Caenorhabditis elegans: one gene and its partner. The protein of the gene in region 2 interacts with the protein of the main gene of each other region in a pairwise test. Each region holds a gene or a part of one and is shown on either strand. Other genes may lie near its edges.

Evidence for each region. Proteins that work in one complex are often made in the same cells at the same time.
Region 1: the proteins of lntl-1 (region 2) and slfl-5 interact in a two-hybrid assay, tested with the Caenorhabditis elegans proteins (2 studies listed by BioGRID).

What each region holds. Positions count from the first base shown.
Region 1 is NC_003283.11:12,240,171-12,246,771, reverse strand, and holds slfl-5 (Tr-type G domain-containing protein), read left to right. Parts: upstream 1-1,727; 5' UTR 1,728-1,741; coding exon of another isoform or gene 1,742-1,771; 5' UTR 1,772-1,823; coding exon 1,824-1,885; intron 1,886-2,063; coding exon 2,064-2,463; intron 2,464-2,511; coding exon 2,512-2,742; intron 2,743-3,235; coding exon 3,236-3,991; intron 3,992-4,056; coding exon 4,057-4,171; intron 4,172-4,239; coding exon 4,240-4,442; 3' UTR 4,443-4,801; downstream 4,802-6,601. Other genes in the region: rad-50 (Zinc-hook domain-containing protein), read right to left, coding at 1-83, 139-187, 1,116-1,126; ttr-22 (Transthyretin-like family protein), read right to left, coding at 4,860-5,125, 5,174-5,342.
Region 2 is NC_003282.8:5,799,637-5,810,228, reverse strand, and holds lntl-1 (LIN-24 (Twenty-four) Like), read left to right. Parts: upstream 1-3,135; 5' UTR 3,136-3,256; coding exon 3,257-3,263; intron 3,264-3,442; exon of another isoform or gene 3,443-3,464; intron 3,465-3,829; exon of another isoform or gene 3,830-3,850; intron 3,851-4,158; exon of another isoform or gene 4,159-4,179; intron 4,180-4,259; exon of another isoform or gene 4,260-4,280; intron 4,281-4,747; coding exon 4,748-4,848; intron 4,849-5,621; exon of another isoform or gene 5,622-5,643; intron 5,644-6,156; coding exon 6,157-6,273; intron 6,274-6,528; exon of another isoform or gene 6,529-6,549; intron 6,550-6,623; exon of another isoform or gene 6,624-6,644; intron 6,645-6,994; exon of another isoform or gene 6,995-7,137; intron 7,138-7,398; exon of another isoform or gene 7,399-7,423; intron 7,424-7,510; coding exon 7,511-7,597; intron 7,598-7,857; exon of another isoform or gene 7,858-7,881; intron 7,882-7,901; coding exon 7,902-8,228; intron 8,229-8,765; exon of another isoform or gene 8,766-8,786; intron 8,787-8,844; coding exon 8,845-8,899; exon of another isoform or gene 8,900-9,218; coding exon 9,219-9,331; intron 9,332-9,336; exon of another isoform or gene 9,337-9,357; intron 9,358-9,458; and 5 more. Other genes in the region: C31H1.1 (DUF148 domain-containing protein), read right to left, coding at 10,072-10,152, 10,197-10,267, 10,368-10,592.

The sequences.
Region 1 (6,601 bases), on a different chromosome or scaffold from region 2:
ATTAGTGTGCACGGAGAGAGGAAATCAATTTTGTGAACATCGTGGTCCTCATCACCGACACTTCGAATTCCTCTGATGTGTAGCTGAAATTTTCATAAATTTAGTATTTTCAGAGTAAAAATAAATTTGCAGACTTACGCGTAAAAATTTCGCCATAAGCAATTCCCAGGCTTCGATAAGCAAATATCTGAAACATTCTCATTTGCAAATAGGTTTATTCAAAGAAAAATGTTGCGAAATTAAATTAATATATTGATTCCGTTGGAAACTCTGGAAAAAGGACTAAGTAAAGTGAAATTCCTGAGTATTTTCAATTAATTCCTGTGTAAAGTGGGCCTTCTGCGTATTTTTAATTAATTTTTGCGTAAAGTTAAACTCTTGCATGAAGTAAAAAAACAGAAAAAAAACAATTTCGAAAACTGACAAAAAAACAGTTTCCGATTCAAAAATAGAGCGCAAAAACAAAATACGATGCTCCGAAGTTCCGCAAGCGCGTGTTGTTTAACCGAAAGAAGATTTCGATTTTTTCTTTTCCCTCTGCTTTTGATTTTGAGCTTCATATTAATTTCTTCATTCTGAAAATCACGAAAACTCGGTAAAAGCTTCCTGTTTATTTTAATTTTTGGCAATCATGAAATTTTTTTTCAAATTCTCACATGGTTAAAAAACATCAGTCAAACGATTGATAAGATATTTTCCGAACAACTGATAAACTCGTATTCTAGAAATCGTACAAACGGTTTTATTGTTGTTTATTTTGAACTGAACGTTTTTGTCTAAGGAAATGCATCATATTGCGTCACATCGAATGTTGTTCTTAAGAGTAAGGAAATATTTCGCAATTTTCTGCAACATTCTTTAACGGCTGTGTTCGGTCATTTTACTTGTATTTAGGGCTACTAACAGCCCCACTTGTATTATTATTATGATTTTACCTTTCGTTCCAGAAGGCTGAAATTTTAGAAATTCTGAGTAAGACTAACTTTTATGTTTTATTCCAATATATTTACTGTTTAAAAGTATCCTCCATTGTCACCTGGTATTTAGAATGATTATTAACCTGTCGAATGCACCTTCAAAGATCTCAATGCCCACCTACGTGTGAAAACACTTACTTCCTTCTCATTTCCGTCCGATCGTAATCAAAAAGAAACAGGTTTTCCTCTCTCTCATCATCTGTCTTCCAAGCTTCAACTTCAACCTTCCTTCAGTATCTTCTTATTCTTCCAGCTGTCCACTGCCAATCAGTAGGTTCATATTCCCGTAAAAAATCGCCATTTTGTCTGGTTTCTTTTGATTTGAACGCTTCTTTTCATCTCATTCCTCTCTTATTCTCTCATGTATTTGCTCAATCATTCAGCATGCTCACTGTGAAGCTTGTGTGTGCATAATTTCTTTTCATAGAATCGAGCGACGTGGAAATCGATATTTCTCACTGTTCCTTTTTTCAATATTGACAAATTTCCAGTTCAAAAGTCAACTTAACTTGTTGTTATGTTCCTCTCCGATTTTTTCTGTCTTATTTTCTTCTTTCGAAAACAACAGCGGCTCCCCTTTCCCACTTTTTTCTCTTCATACGTCAATTCTCTAAGTTCTCATATTTCTCTACAATCTCTACATGTTGACCGAACCAGTTAACAACTGACTTTTCAAAACCTCTCGAAACACGACATTTTTTTCTCAAGTACCCGAACCTCTCTCCCTATGATTAAAATTTGATGTTCCAGAATCGGAGAATCGAATGATAGATCGAATACGGCGTGAGCAGTAGTTATCCAACTGATTATCTCATTTCATAAAATAATAAACAACTCAATCTCACTATGGATTTTATGATTTCACATTTCTGCGATGAGCAGAATCATCAGCCACTTTACAAAACTAGGTGAGTACGATAAATATTGTGTGGTTAACATTTGAAAATTTTATTTCTAAAATCAAAATTCATTTATTTAAATTCCTTATAAAAAATAAATCAATTCTAAAACATTGATATAAAATCAATTCAATTTATTTAATGTCGCCAAATCATTTAAGGTAGTATATTATATTATTTTTTACAGACGACAATCAATATCGGACTCTAAAAATGGACCAACACTTCTCAGCTCTTCACTGCCAACTAACGATGAATGTTCCGACTCCGACACCGAAAACCGATTGCCACCTGAAACGGAGCTTGGAAATATTGAGTACAAAGCAAAATTAGTAAATCCAACGACATCTCGTATACAACATCTGATCACTCAAATGAAATGGCGTCTTCGTGAGGGTCAAGGAGAGGCTATTTATGAAATTGGCGTTGAGGATGGTGGAATAATGTCTGGATTAACAGACGAGGAACTGAATGATTCACTTCGGACCTTGAGAACGATGGCCCAAGCTCTTGGGGCGAGTATGGTTATTTTGACCGAGAAAGACGTTACTGTTAAGGGATCAAATTCACGGAGAACTGTAGTCGAGGTAATTATTATTGAGTCATATTTTATCTAAATGAAATTATTTTTCTAGGTACTTGTCCGAAAGGTTCCTGAAAGCCAGCAATTCATCGAAGTTCGTCTTGCTGTCGTTGGAGGATGCGATGTCGGAAAATCAACACTGTGTGGAGTGTTAACACAGGGTTGTCTGGACGACGGAAACGGAAAAGCAAGAATTGGAATATTCAGATTTCCACACGAAGTGCGAACAGGAAAAACCAGTTCTGTCTGTAATGATGTCATTGGCTTCGATAATCGTGGAAAGGTTAGAAATTTTTCGAAACATTCAGAATGGGTTAAAATATGCTTGAAAATATTTAAAAAAAAAAACAGTAAACTGATTAAATTGTAGATAATTTCTTTATTGAAAATTTTAAAGTTGGATCCTATTTATTAGGGTTTTTGATTTAAATAATTAAAAAAATGGACGGTAATACCGAATATAATTGTTTCAAAAAATCATAAAATTTTTATAATTTTTTCAATTTTGCAAAAATAAAAAAATAAAAATCTGTTTTTGAATTCCCGCCCAATTATCAAAAATAAAAATTTAAAAAGTTAGAAAGATTTTATAACTTTTAAAATCAATTAAAATCGATTATTACGGTCAATTTTTTTTTCATTCAAAACAAAATTTCAAAATGATTCTACTCCACTTTTGAATACAAAAACAATGAATTTAGAAAAATTTTATTTGAAAAACTTAAATTCGATTTTTTTAAATTTATTTATAAATATCTAATTTTTACTTTTTTCAGCTAGTCAATTATGCACAAAATAGTCTCGAAGAAATGGTGGAGAAGTCTTCAAAACTTGTAACACTTATCGATCTGGCTGGAGACGCAAAATATCAGAAAACGACAATTCATGGATTAACCGGATACACTCCTCATTTCGCTTGCCTTGTTGTAGCCGCCGATCGAGGAATCACGTGGGCCACTCGTGAACATCTTGGATTAATTGCCGCTTTAAACATTCCAATGTTTGTACTGATCACAAAAATGGATCTAGTCGATCGACAAGGACTTAAGAAAATCATCAAAGATGTTTCCAATCTTGTTGCGAAAGCAGGGATGACAGCTCGCGAGAAAAGAGTGAAAACTAAAAGAGACGCAGTGAAGGCGGCACAAGAACTCTGCGTTGGTAGTATCGTACCAGTTCTTGCTGTTAGTTCAGTGAGCGGAGAAGGTTTTCGTTGTCTCAGAACACTTCTCAATTGCCTTTCTACAGCTGGAACTGCAGAGTCACGTATTCAACTAGTTGGACTCCCAGCCTTTTTCACAATCGAGGAACTATATAATGTGCCTCATGTTGGACAAGTAGTTGGAGGAATGCTATCTGAAGGACAATTGCATGAAGGAGCAGATGTTCTTGTTGGACCCATGAAAGATGGAACTTTTGAAAAAATTACTGTCGGGTCGATTCGAAGAAGCCGGCAAGCCGTAGGATGTGTTAATCCTGGTGAAGCTGCATCGATATCCTTGAATCTTCCAGACGGTGTCAGTCTAAGAAGGGTAAGTATTTTTTTCCACAGAAAAATCATTCGAAATGTGAAACATATTGATTATTTTCATTAAAGGGAATGGTTCTTGCTGAAATCGATCATCAACCACCAGTTTGTTACGAATTCACTGCCAATCTTTTACTGCTGTGTCACTCGACGAAATACATATGCGAAGGATTTCAAGCCACAGGTGAGTACTTTTTCTCATTTCAACTTTCAGTTTTGATTTTTTCTGAAATAATTTATGAACTTTTTCAGTGTTTATCGGAAGTGTCTGTACAACTGCCATTATTACTCACATCGACGATGCAGACTGCATCCGTCCAGGAAAATGGGCTGTAGTTAAAATGTGTTTCGCCTATCAACCAGAAGTCATTCGTGAAGGATCACCAATTATTCTTCGTCAAGGAAAAACCAAAGGAATGGGAGAAGTATTAAAAGTATTTCCGTGCACCCAATGATAATTGTTAGTCTGAAAATCTCTAAATTTTACTGCCACCCCCCCCCCCCCCTCCCAATTATCTTGTATATTTTGTGTAGACCTCTTTTTTGTAGTCTTTTTTCACTCTCTCTCTCTTTGCCCTCTCCTCCTAGGTACCCGTGTGTTTACATTTTGCTCCGGGTTGATAATAGTTGTACATAGTTGAAATTGTACAATTCTGAATATTTGTTCACTAAGTGAACCTTTTTGTCTCCAAAAATACTCTAGATCCTCTTTTTTCTCTTCTTCCAGGTGCCCCCACTCATTCTATTCATTTTTTGTAGCATTTTTTGCGCTACTGCTTTTTTAGTTACAATTTTAAAAATGAACTGAATTCACTCTTCCTAGATGTCCCATTTCAATTATTCTAGAAACAAATTTATTAGGAAGTACACATTCAATGGATACAATCAGTGGTTTCTCCACTGAACTGATTAGCTAAGTTCAAAGTTCCAATATCATAATTATCAGTCGAGCTACTTCCAGATGCAACTGCATAATCAGGAATATTGATTGTCACTTTCTTTGAACATGGTCCATTGTAATTACAACTATGATATATATTCACTTTTGGATCCAATGTTAAAATATCTGTATATGTTCCAGAAACAGAAAATGTTCCATCAGATGAGGTGGTCGTCGAACCTAATTTCGAGTCATATACTGAAAAAATCAATTGTTTCAAAACAGTTCTTCCAAATAATAACTTACTCGTTCCATCGTCATACATCTTCACGAGAACTCCACTGGCTGGCTGTCCTTCACAAACCAATTTTCCCGTTACAGTAACACTTTGAGTGCTTCCGATAACATTGAGTAAAGCATCGGAGCAATGAATCAAAAAGAAAACAGAAAGAGCAATATATGTAATTGAAAACATTGTGAACACAAAATTCAGAGTGATTCTTGTAAGACATTTATATACTGTCTACAAGAAGTAAATAGAAACACAGTTCGAGTAAATATAGTCGTTACAAATTGTTACTTTGCTCACTGACTCAATAATTGTCACTTAAAATGAAATCATAGATCAACGACAAAGGATATAATTGGTTCTTTTTAGATAATTCTATTGTAAATATCAACTTTGTTCAACGACTAAAAGTCCATTTTAAATTTGGTGAAACGCCAATAGTAAAAACTTTTAAAATCACTATATGATGCTCACAACGGTAGAAATGACTCAGTTTTCACATTTCATAGTTTTGAAGGTTGACCAAAAAACTTTTAACTTGGATTACATTAAATTAATTTGTAATTGATTTGTAGGGTTTCGAACATACAAGAATGCTTAATGTGATAAAGTTTAAACTAACTTTAAGAACATACTGAAAATTACAAAAAGTGTGAAACATGCTAGTGATTAAAAAATAAATATTCAGTATTTTTGGTTCATTTGTATACTTGACGGAACTGACCACATGGTGTCAGAGTGTCCCATATCGGTACAATCTACAAAAAATTCTTAAATTTAGACGCAGACTTCTCAGCAGATTCCGCATGGTTGAGAGCATGTTTATGCTCGAGAAATTCCTGATTTCTCGTAGATCAACCCGTAATGGGACAGCCTGACACCACGTGACTGAATCTACCACACCTTTACACCAAGACTACTACGACAAAATACTATTAAGGAAAATATTTTTTGCTCAATAGTTTCCTGATCTGAAGCTATGTTTTTGACTTTGTCCACTGAATGCAAAATTATATTCTAGAAAATAGTTCAAATTAATTGAAGTGGATCTACGAACCTCTAAACTCTAGAAAAATAGGAAGGAGGAATTTATATCGTAAATTAGTGTATAAGGTAGAAAAAGTTCAGGACTCGAAAAAACATAATATTTTTGAATTGAATCGTAGTTGCAAATCACGTATATATTAGCAGACTATGGAAGAAATTGGGGTTTTATCAAAAAAACAAGATACAATTGAAAGCGATTCTACAAATGGTCCGGAATATAAAGTTATAATGCCCCAAATAAAAATCGAACCATCAATTCTCGATATGCAACGCTTTCATCACAGTTGATCTATAATTCCGTGACATTGAAAAATTGATTAAACAATGTGCAGCCGCATTGAAACAGAAAAATGTATCAACCCAAACATCGCCATACAAGAGAACCATGTGGAGAATTG
Region 2 (10,592 bases):
TTTATTGCATTTATAATGAACTTTTTCAATATACATTGCACACTATTTTAAACGTCCCCTTTTGAAAAACCTTAAGAACTGCAGTAGATTAACCTTCGTATCTATTCAATCCCTTTTCCAATTTTTCATCCAAAACTCTCAAATCTCTTCATCTTCTTCTTCTGATGCCCCATTCTTCATAATCCGCTAATTGACGTATCCTTTCCATTCCCTCCTCTTCTCTTACTAAATCCTAAAATTGTCTCTAATTTGTTGATCACTTCTTCTTCTTCTTCACCTTTTCCCCATGGGAGATTTCCCTTCCAAAAGCTTTTTCCTCTCCAGCATGAGCATAAATGTTATAATTGGCTCAATTGCTCTTTGGAGAGAAAGTAGATTTATGAGCCAACACAAATAAACGGAGCTTGACAGGTTTTCGACAAGCAGGTAGAAATGAGGACAGAGTGGGAATGAGGGGAGAACAGAAACATATATAGAATGTATTATTTCACACCGCATTCTATTACGCGTTCCCTTCTTTGGTTGTGAAGGAGAAAAAGCCGACATGTTTGCTTTGCTCAATTATTATTATTATGATTGTTGCCGGCCGAGTGGTAGAATATATTTGAAATGAAAATTCCCGATATGTGGTCCCTTGTTTGAAGATTTGACATTGACAGGCAGCATTAACATCGGCAGAAAAATTTTACCGTTTCATAAGTTCAGTAAACATGCAAATGATTTGATTCTAACTGATAGGACAGTGGAACGAACGATAAATCTTTTATTTTGGAGTTTAAGCTCTTTGAAAAAAAACGTATACTGAGCATGAAAGTAGCTCTCAATCCTTGAACTGTTATATAAATACTCGGTATTTATTTGGAACAACTTTCAAATATCAAAACGCTTAGGAGTTTTTTGGTTGATTAATAGAATGAAAGTTAAAAAAAAAAAAAACATTCACTTTTTTTGAAAACAGTTTCAGGTTCTTGATAAATTTTGTGGTGGTTTATCATTCTGTTTAGAATTTTAGTTGACTATGGTATATTTATTAAATGTCTGAAACATAACATTTATTCAAAACGTAATTTATAAGTTGTTCCCGATACTGGATCACATATTGAAAATCTAAATTTTTTTTGGTGACGTTGAAATGGAATTTGTTGAAAAATTTTACCGTTTCACTATTTTATCATAAAATTTTTTATGAAAATCTATGAGATTGTTTTACTACTAATAAACATTTTAAAGTTGAAATTTAAAATGACAACTGTTCGATAGAGAATGCGAAAATAATTGACTAAAATTGAAATATTGGTATCTTTCTAAAATATTTCTTAGTAAATTGATAAACGAACGACGTCACTGATTTTTGTATAAAAAACTATTAAATAAAATGTTTCAGGTTTTTGATAAAATTCAGGATGGTTAGGCCAACTATTTTTTCAGTGTTTAACATGACAGTTTTCAGGTTCTTGATATATGCCAATGTCGCTAATCAAATGATTGTCTATGGATGTTGTCAAATGTCAAAAAAAACTTCAAATGAAACTCCAAAGGTGTTCCTGATGTTGGGTCATTTTTTTGTGAGTCTGAAATATCCTGGCGCCACTGAAACAAAAAATTGGTCGAAAAAATTACCGTTTCACTATTTTCATAAATATGTTTAAATTAATTTGGGCCATAATTTTCACTTTTTTCTAGTAGAAATGTTCTTGATATTTTTGATTGAAACCCTTCCAAGACATGATAGGTCACTTTTCAGTAACCATTTAATGAGCTACACACGTTAAGAAATTTTTTTTGAAGAATACGTTTGAAATGTAAATTAAAAAATGGATAACTTTTCGATGCTTTTAGGCATTATTGAAATAAAACGTTGGTTAAAGTTTTTGACCGTTTTATAAATTTCATGAATACGCTTCATTTTTTCAAAGCTTGAATAATCTTTCCACTATTTTTTCACTCTTTTTTTTTGGTTTTTCGTATTTTTGTTTTAAAATTTTCACATTGTTTTGCAAAGTTATCACATATCATGTTTCAGTTTCTTTATAAATTTCAGGGAGGTTCTGAAGATATTACTTTTAACTTTTTTCAGGATTGCGTGTTCGTTGGTGTCCTTGTCCCATTCCATGTTTCCGTCGTTGTGTTCTGACTCATAAATTTCACGGTTTTTTGGGTGTGTGGTGACAGTAAAAAGTGTGAAGGGATAGATTGTAAAAAAAAATTCCTCGCAAATATAGTTTAGAAGGTTTCAGAAAGTTTTCAAAAAAACACATTCAAAAATTCAAATGTTTCATAAAGTGGTTGAATGAACTTTTAAACTATAAAAATTAAAACTCAAACCTTTCCGGAAAGAGCTTAAAATACATCTTGTTCGCCGTGTTCTCCTAATTTTTTCAGGACTTGTGGGACGTAAGACCTATAATATATGAAAACAAAACGACAATTTATAAAAACCAATTTTTGTAATAATTTTTCATTGATAAATAAAAACAATGTAGTATGTCAAAAATCTTACAATTGAACTAAAGATTACGAAAATCGATTTTTCGGTAAAAAACTTTGGCCAAACTCGAATGAAGGAAATTCCCCAAACTATTATTTGCTTACCAATACATATTTTTAAATATATATTAGAAACGTATTAGAAACATATGAAAAGTGTTTACAAGAAATTATCAAACTTGGCATTTGTTTTAATGGTTTTAGTTTAACATCTGAAACAGCAAAAAAAATTCCGAAAATAGTTCGAATTGTTTTTTTTCCGTTCTCAATCGCTGATGGATTCACTTTAGCTAATATTTCAGAAATTATTTTAAATACAAAACGACTTGTTGTTGAGCATTACTCATTATGATTACAAAAATCGAATTATTTTCTCAAAAATTACTTCAATTATATTCTAATTTTGAAACAGTAAAAAAAAATACGAAAATTATATTCACTTAGCTTTTCGAATATTGGTTAAAGTATGTATTAGTAATTCCTCTTTTTTACTATTAATTTTTTAAAAATACATCTCAATCAATTCTACAGGGAAAATAAAAACATCGCCCCCTCGAGCAGCTTGAATCCCTGGAAAAATGAAAATAAGTAAGAGAAGAAGAGGCAAAGAAGTCATCGACGATTGGCTGGCAGGCATACAAAGTAGGCGGAGTCGTCATGTGAAACCCGGCGGAGGGCTTCGATTCACAGAGACTCCTCCTGTTTGTGTGTCCCCCGATTGCCCGTCTGAATCATCGAATTTTTTTTGGAAATCAATTTCGATAAAAAAATGTTTAGTAAGTTTGTTGATTTTAAATTTAAAATTTTTTTTATGTGAATTAAGCGCACAGTGTCTGCATTCATTGAAATTTTAACCAAAAAATGTTTTATTTGGAGCAGAACTTTTTTTAACGTCTCAACTAACCTAAATATATAATACTCAATTGGTGTAATTTTCTTTTATTCAACTGCAGAAACTTTTTACATCAACTACTCAATATGTTAAATAAAACCTACGAGTTTTTATAAACATCATGAAACAGTGGATAGTGTAATCATGAATCATCATTGGAATTTCAAAAAATTGATTTAAAAAGTGATTTGTGTGTCTCTATTCTCTCTCGGCATGAGCTTATAAATTCAATTGTTTGTGAGAGGGCAAACCGAACCGCGTTGCAATTGTACCGTGCCAAATCCCTCGCAATATTTCTTTGCGTCTCTTCTTTCTTATACTCTCTCTCTCTCTCTGTGTCGTTTTCTATCAGAGTACAGTAATCTGATTTATAAACAACGTTAAACAAAAGTGGAAGTGAAGAGGAAGGTTTTGAAGTTTTCAAAATGTTCTTGAAATTTTTCGGCCAGTCGATCCCACACATCGAGATGATTGAATTAATTTCAAAAAATAAAATGATATTCTATGAATGAAACTGTAATTTTTTTTCGAAAAATTTCACATTATGATGTCTTCTAGGAAAGTTGGAAAATTTCACAACAGTATTGCTGGCTTTAACTTTAAAACAAAAAAAACCGTGAAAAAAACTAAACAAACAGTATAGGTTAAAATGAGCAGAGCTTTTCATAAGAAACGCAAAAATTTTTGCTATGATGAGTGATGAAAGTGAGTTGCTTTTTATAATACATTTTCTACAGTTTCAGAAAAAATTCAATTACCATAACAACAATTTTAAATGTTTGGAAACAAATATTTGAAAAACGTTGAAAAAAGTGAGCGGAATTTAAAAAAATTTCTGTTTCACTGAAATTTTATTTCATTTGCTGAGAAAAATATATATTACCGTACTATTTTCAAAAGCTTTAGTAAGAAATATAAGTTCTCCCTTCTCTCAAATAGGAAACTTTCACTTACTTCTTCTTCTTTACCTGAATACCTGCCTAATTGTAGCCTTCACCTTTCTCTCTCTCTCCAGTCCCAGTTCTAATTATTCCGAAATTCTCTCCTTTTCCATGTTTCACATATACATTTCCGATTTTGTTTCCCACGTTTTCATGTGCCTGAATCCTCTGAACTAGAGATTCTGAGACGCAGAGAAAAATAAACGTGGATTACGGTAGTTGAGGGGAGCCAGAGAAGAGCGGCGACGTTTTTCCGTCTTCTCGTGCATTCTAGTGAAATAGCGCTCAAAAAATTTAGACGCAGAATTGCAACGCGCAATTTACTATTGATTCGGTTGAAAAATGAAGAGAGAAGAGAGACTCAGAATATTTTGAAATATGTTTCTGACTCATCTATTCTGAAAACTTAATGATCAATAAATTCCAGGTTGCATATCTCCACAGAAATCACCGGCTTTTAGTCCAGAACAGGAGAAAATGCTGAAATCGAACAGAGCAAATGAGCCACAAAGCTTTGTGAAAGGAAATGTAAGTATTTGAATTTAATTCTTAATTTGAAAATATATATTAAAAATAGCGAAACCTAAAATTTCTTCACAGTTTCAGCGATTTTTTAAGCTTTCATTAATTCATGCATATATTTTTTTCTTTAAGTGAACGGAAGAATACAGCTTGTGCTGAAAATTTGAACACTTGAAATGTGTTATAAATATTGTATCAACACTATTTAATTAAAGTTTATAACTTTGTGAAGATAGTTTTTATTTTTTACGTATACTTTTGTGGGATTCTGTAAACAAGCGAATTTGTGTTATTCGAAATTAATTTACAGTTTCAACATTTTTTCATAAGTTTTGTATTTTTGAGGTGTATATTTTTATCTTTGCAGTTTTAAAAGTTATGTTCTTCAAAATATGAAAAACGTGAAATACCTCAATATTAAAAGGATCATTTAATTAATTATTTTTAACTGATTGAACATGAAATTATTGCTCATCTGAACATAACAATTCAATTTTGATCCGTATTCTTGCAAAAAATATAATCTCTAAGCTGAAATAGTCACCGAATACACAGATTGTTTGATATTTTTCCAAGAGTGTTTGCATTTTTTTCATGAGCCTAGTTATTTTATGAGCACATTTAAAGTTTACGAATTCATTATTTTTTGTTCGCTCGCTTTATCAGCAAAAATATATGCCGCAAAATGTGTAAAAATACATTGACAGAATTTCAAATTTACAACTTTTTTGTACTGTCTCAACAAGTTTTTATCATAATATGATAATCAGTTTCATTGATTCACGGATGCAATTTGTGATAAAATTAATTTTAAACATATATTAAGAGCCCAAAAGCAGTTTGGAATTCGATTTTTAAGGTTTTGAGAAATCGTTCTCTTAAAAAAATCATTCAATTTTTGTTGCAAATAAGAAAAAAAATACTCAAAAAATTTTTTAATCTATTAAACATGAAATATTGTTAATTTGCTAAATTATCAAGTTTTACATTTTTCTACAGTTTCAACATATTTTGATAATAATTTTATTTTTTGTAAGTTTACATTTTGCTCCTTTTTTCGAATTCTCTGCGATTCTAATGAAAGAGCAAAAGTTAAAAATGTTCAGGAATGTTAATTCTGTTAGAAACACCTGTAAGAAATGAACCTTTATAAAAATTAAATGGACTGTTTCATCAAGTTTTGTATACATTTTGATTTCAGAAACTACCGCTTTAACCCATTTGAATTCTTAATTTTCAATTTAATGAAAAGTTTTGAAAAAAAAATTTTATAGCATGTATTGCACCCTATAAAAACAAATTGAGTTTTTCCAGGACGCCGCAAAATCCGACCTGATAGATTTGGAAGAAGTTGTTACCAATTGGGCAAAGACAATGTTTGATGTGACAAAAAGCAAAGCGGAGGGAAAAATCAAGAAGAAATATTTATCGGTGAGCATTTCCATTCATTATGCTCAGTTTGTCACCATCGATCCAATTACGGAAAGAGGAAATTGGCACCTCCGTTAGGAAATTGAGCATGAAAATTGATAGGTTGTGCCTTTGGGAGGTCCCATGTGTGTGTTTAATCCGTTCAAAGTGAAAAGGGGGTAATGAATTGAAGAATGCTCATGCGGGATAAGAGAAATTGAAAAGGGAAAGAGAGAAAGAAAGAATGACAAAAATCACCCAAGGGAACCGACATATGGTTTCATTTATTTGAATACAATGAGGTCCCGCCAAAGTGAATAAATTGATATAGAGAATGGGAAATAGGATGTATTACTAAAATCTGAAGGGAAGAATCTTGTGAAGCAATTTCAACATTTTCCTGGCTGAAGTACAAAGCTGATGAAAACATGTTGAAACAGTAATAATAATTTTTAAAACTTCTTTAATTTTTCTGTATAAACTTATTCTCGTTGTGCTATAAAACTCAAAAAAAAAGTACCCAGCAAAAGGAAATTGTCAGGGTTTTCACCGAATTATCGGCAGTTTTCTACAATTTTTTTTGAACAGTTTTCTAGAACTTAAAGCTGGCTGGAGAGGCGCCAAAAATATTTGTTGTTGATATATATTTTTAATGGTAAAAAATGGACTGTAATGATTGAATATAATTTTGAAAAAAAAAATCAAATTAAAATATTTATGATTGAATAAAAAAATGACAAAAAATCATTTTCAACATGGTTTTAAAACTTCATATTTGTTTTGACTCCAATAACGAGATAAATTAATCTGCAAACTTTTCCTAGCGTTTTCGAAAACGAACAAAAATCAGAATCAACTATTACTCTCATCTTCACCAACTTCTCAAAAACCTCATCATCAACAATGCTCCCAAAGTGTAAATGTAAATGAAGTCGGCACGAAGGTGTCAAAGGCTCAGGGTGTGTGTATAGGAACAACAGTCACACATACCACCCGCTTTCTTGATTTACGAGTTACACACCTTGAGGGTATAGAATTCCTAGCGAGAAAGAATATTTTGAGGGAAATGCGAAACAGTATTTAAAAAATACAACTGGAGTATGTTTCATGGTGGTTTTGAAACGTTTTAACTACAACGAGAGTTACTTAATAAACATCTAGTCTTTGAATCACTTTTCACAATTCTAGTTATAATTTTAAGAAAGTTGTTTTAAAGAACTCGCATGGGCATTTCCGTATAATCCCAACAATTTTTCAGTACAATATCAACTGGACAAAACTGTTTCAAGAATGCTCGGAGCCAACATACACAATCCTTGGAGCAAAGCCGAATGTTGTCGATGCAGTTAGTTATTTTTAAATTAAAAATATTACATTTAAAGTTTTATACTGGAATAGGTTTGGCATATCATTAATTTTTGAATCAAAACTTTTAGAAAAATTTACTGTCGATAAAAATATACAAATTTCAGTATGTGCGTTTCAAAGTTTCCTGAACAAAAAATAACTTCCATATTATTGAGAAATTTGATTTTAAAATTTAAAAAAAAGAAAAATTTTACTGTTTCTAATGAAAAATATTGAAATAGCGGTTATTAGAAATTTTATTCACATCTCTCTCAACCTCAACAAGAATATTCAATTTTCAGAAACAAGATGAGAAAGTGATTTTCAAAACGACATTCACGAATACAACTCAACGCGAGCAAGAATATTCGTTCAAAACGGAACGATGCACTCGCAGCTCTTCAACTGTAATCATCGAAAAGGGAGTTTGCCGTGGAGCAGAAGTTTCACTGAAACTGAAAACTCCTTGTGAAGTTGTGGAAGCAAATGCTGGATTTACTACAGAAGTTATGTTGAATCATATTGGAGAAAATACTTCTGAAGAAGAATTGACATGGGGTGTTGATAGTTGTGTTAAGGTGCCACCAGGTGCAGAAACTGTTGCTGAACTCGTGATTATTGAAGATATTGTAAGTTTTTAAATTGTTTGAATGAGATGGAATCAAATTTAAACCTTCAAACTACTTTTTCAGTAATTAGAAATGTTCTAAAAGGATTTTTAAAAAATTGGTTGCAAAAATTGAATGATGAATCCATTTTCGAGATAGAAAATTTTTATGAAAACTTACATCAGCTGAACAGATTAAATTTTTATATGGAAAGCTCTCATCGATGAATAGTTCCTATTTGAAATTTTCAGCAATGAAAACCTCTTTGATACTGTTTCAATTAGCTCATAGAAAGTAATGATTTTCAAAAGCTTAATTTTTTACAGATATAGAAATTTGAATTGAAAAATAATAAGGCAAGTGAAATTGCAACAAAAAAAAACGGTAATTAGGTATTTTACTGACTAAAATTTAAAGGAATGCAACTGTTTAGAAACTCTAAGTATGTAATGTCTAATGTAAGATTTCTTGAATCAAATTAAAATTCCTACTACATATTCACAATGTTTTGCCGTTTCAAACAGTTAATAAATTATTATGCTTTCCGAGAAGTTTTGATAAGTTTGTGTTAGTCAAGTCACTAAACTTTAAAAAACTTTATACGACCCCATCATCCGTCAAAAACCCTTTTTTCCAGGTAACTCGCGATTTCCGCATCGAAAACCGTCTGAGTGGCAAAGTTTTGGTGACAAGTGAGTTCTTTCCTTTTTCATGCAAATTTAACACATTTTCATTGAATTGGCAAGAGAATGAATGAATAAATTGTCAAGGGTCCTTGACTATTCAACTGTTTCACTTCCACTTCTAGTGCTACACCACTAATAAACGGAAACAACATTTTGAAATTATTCAATGGAAGAAAATATATGAAGGTGTGTAAAAACAGGGAAAAATTAAACTTCCAATTTGAAAAGCTTGAATAGAAAAAAGAACAGAAAAACTATTTCACTACCAGGTAACCAGGCAATATACCCACAAATAATTTCCCTTGTAATCGAATTTAATTTTCAGTAACCAACTTGAAAGAAAACAACAGTTTGGTCACAATTATCGAAGGAAATATCTGTGATATCATCCGAGGAATGCCTGATTACACAGCTAAAGGATTCCGCTTTGATGGACCTGTAAGTATATCGAATCGAATAGCTCACTAAGATTTCAAATTTTTTCGCCTACTTTGTCTACAATATGAAAAAGTATAGAGTTCATTAAAAAAAAACTTTGATACATATGACGGATTGACCAATTTTTTATATCAAAATCTTTAATATATCAAATTCTTTAATTTATATCAAAATCTTTAATAGTAGGTTTGAAACAGCGGATAATTTATTTTGTATTACACAATTTTTAAGTTCTATTATACAATGACAAGTCACTTTTTTTCTTGGAACACCTTTTATTTCCAGGCTGCCATCTACGAGACCCGCGGCCAGTGCATCTTCCGTTTCGGAATTGAGCAAAAAGTCCGAATCAACGAATTTTCACTCAACTCGTCTCGTCGGTACTAACAAGTACTTCTCACTATGAATCAATATAATTTATCTTTTTCCACTGGCTTCTCTGCTTTACTTCTTTTCACAAATCCATTTATTTCCCCTCTGATATAATAATTTCCGGTAATGAAAAATAAGCATTCGATTATTCGATTTATGAAGTTAACTATCATAAACAAGGTTCTATTATACTTATCAACAGTTTGAAACAGTAGATTTTGTAACAAAGCGTTAAAATTGTATTATGTTCTGCGGGTATCATTGTTTGAAACAGATTGCCAAAAAAATGACTCCAACTCTAAAACTTTACTGATACTATAAAAATAAATAAAAATGCATTGAATACAAAAAGTCGAATAGAAAAAAATTTAATGGGCAGGAGACTTTGGTTGAGAAGTGTAAGTCTCTTCAAGACTATATGAGCTGGTGGAGACAGCGGTCATCAGGTCCTGAAATTAATTTATTTGCAAGGATAACTACCGTATTCGCTTACACTAAGAGCAACTCCGCATTTCTGAGCCGAGTTTTGAAGAGCATCAAACAAATGAGAAGCTTGAGTTTCAGCTGGAAAGAAAATTAAAAAGTTGGTCAATAAGATAGTGAAACGGTTTTCCCAATGTGCTGAGATTTTTAAAAACTAGAAGAAACAGTAAATAATACTAACCAACATCCTTTGCAGTATGAAGTGCATCCTCAACTATCTCACCAAGAGAAACACTAGAAAAATTGAAAGAAGCCGAATCCGTACGAGTTCCAGTGGCAGATTGGAGCATTGATTTCTCATCAAACGATCTTGGTGGAACACTGACAACTGAGCTACCGTTTGAAAAGGCAGTCTTCATGGAATTGGTTGAATAGTTCTTGCACGGAATCTCAGACATATTGTCCG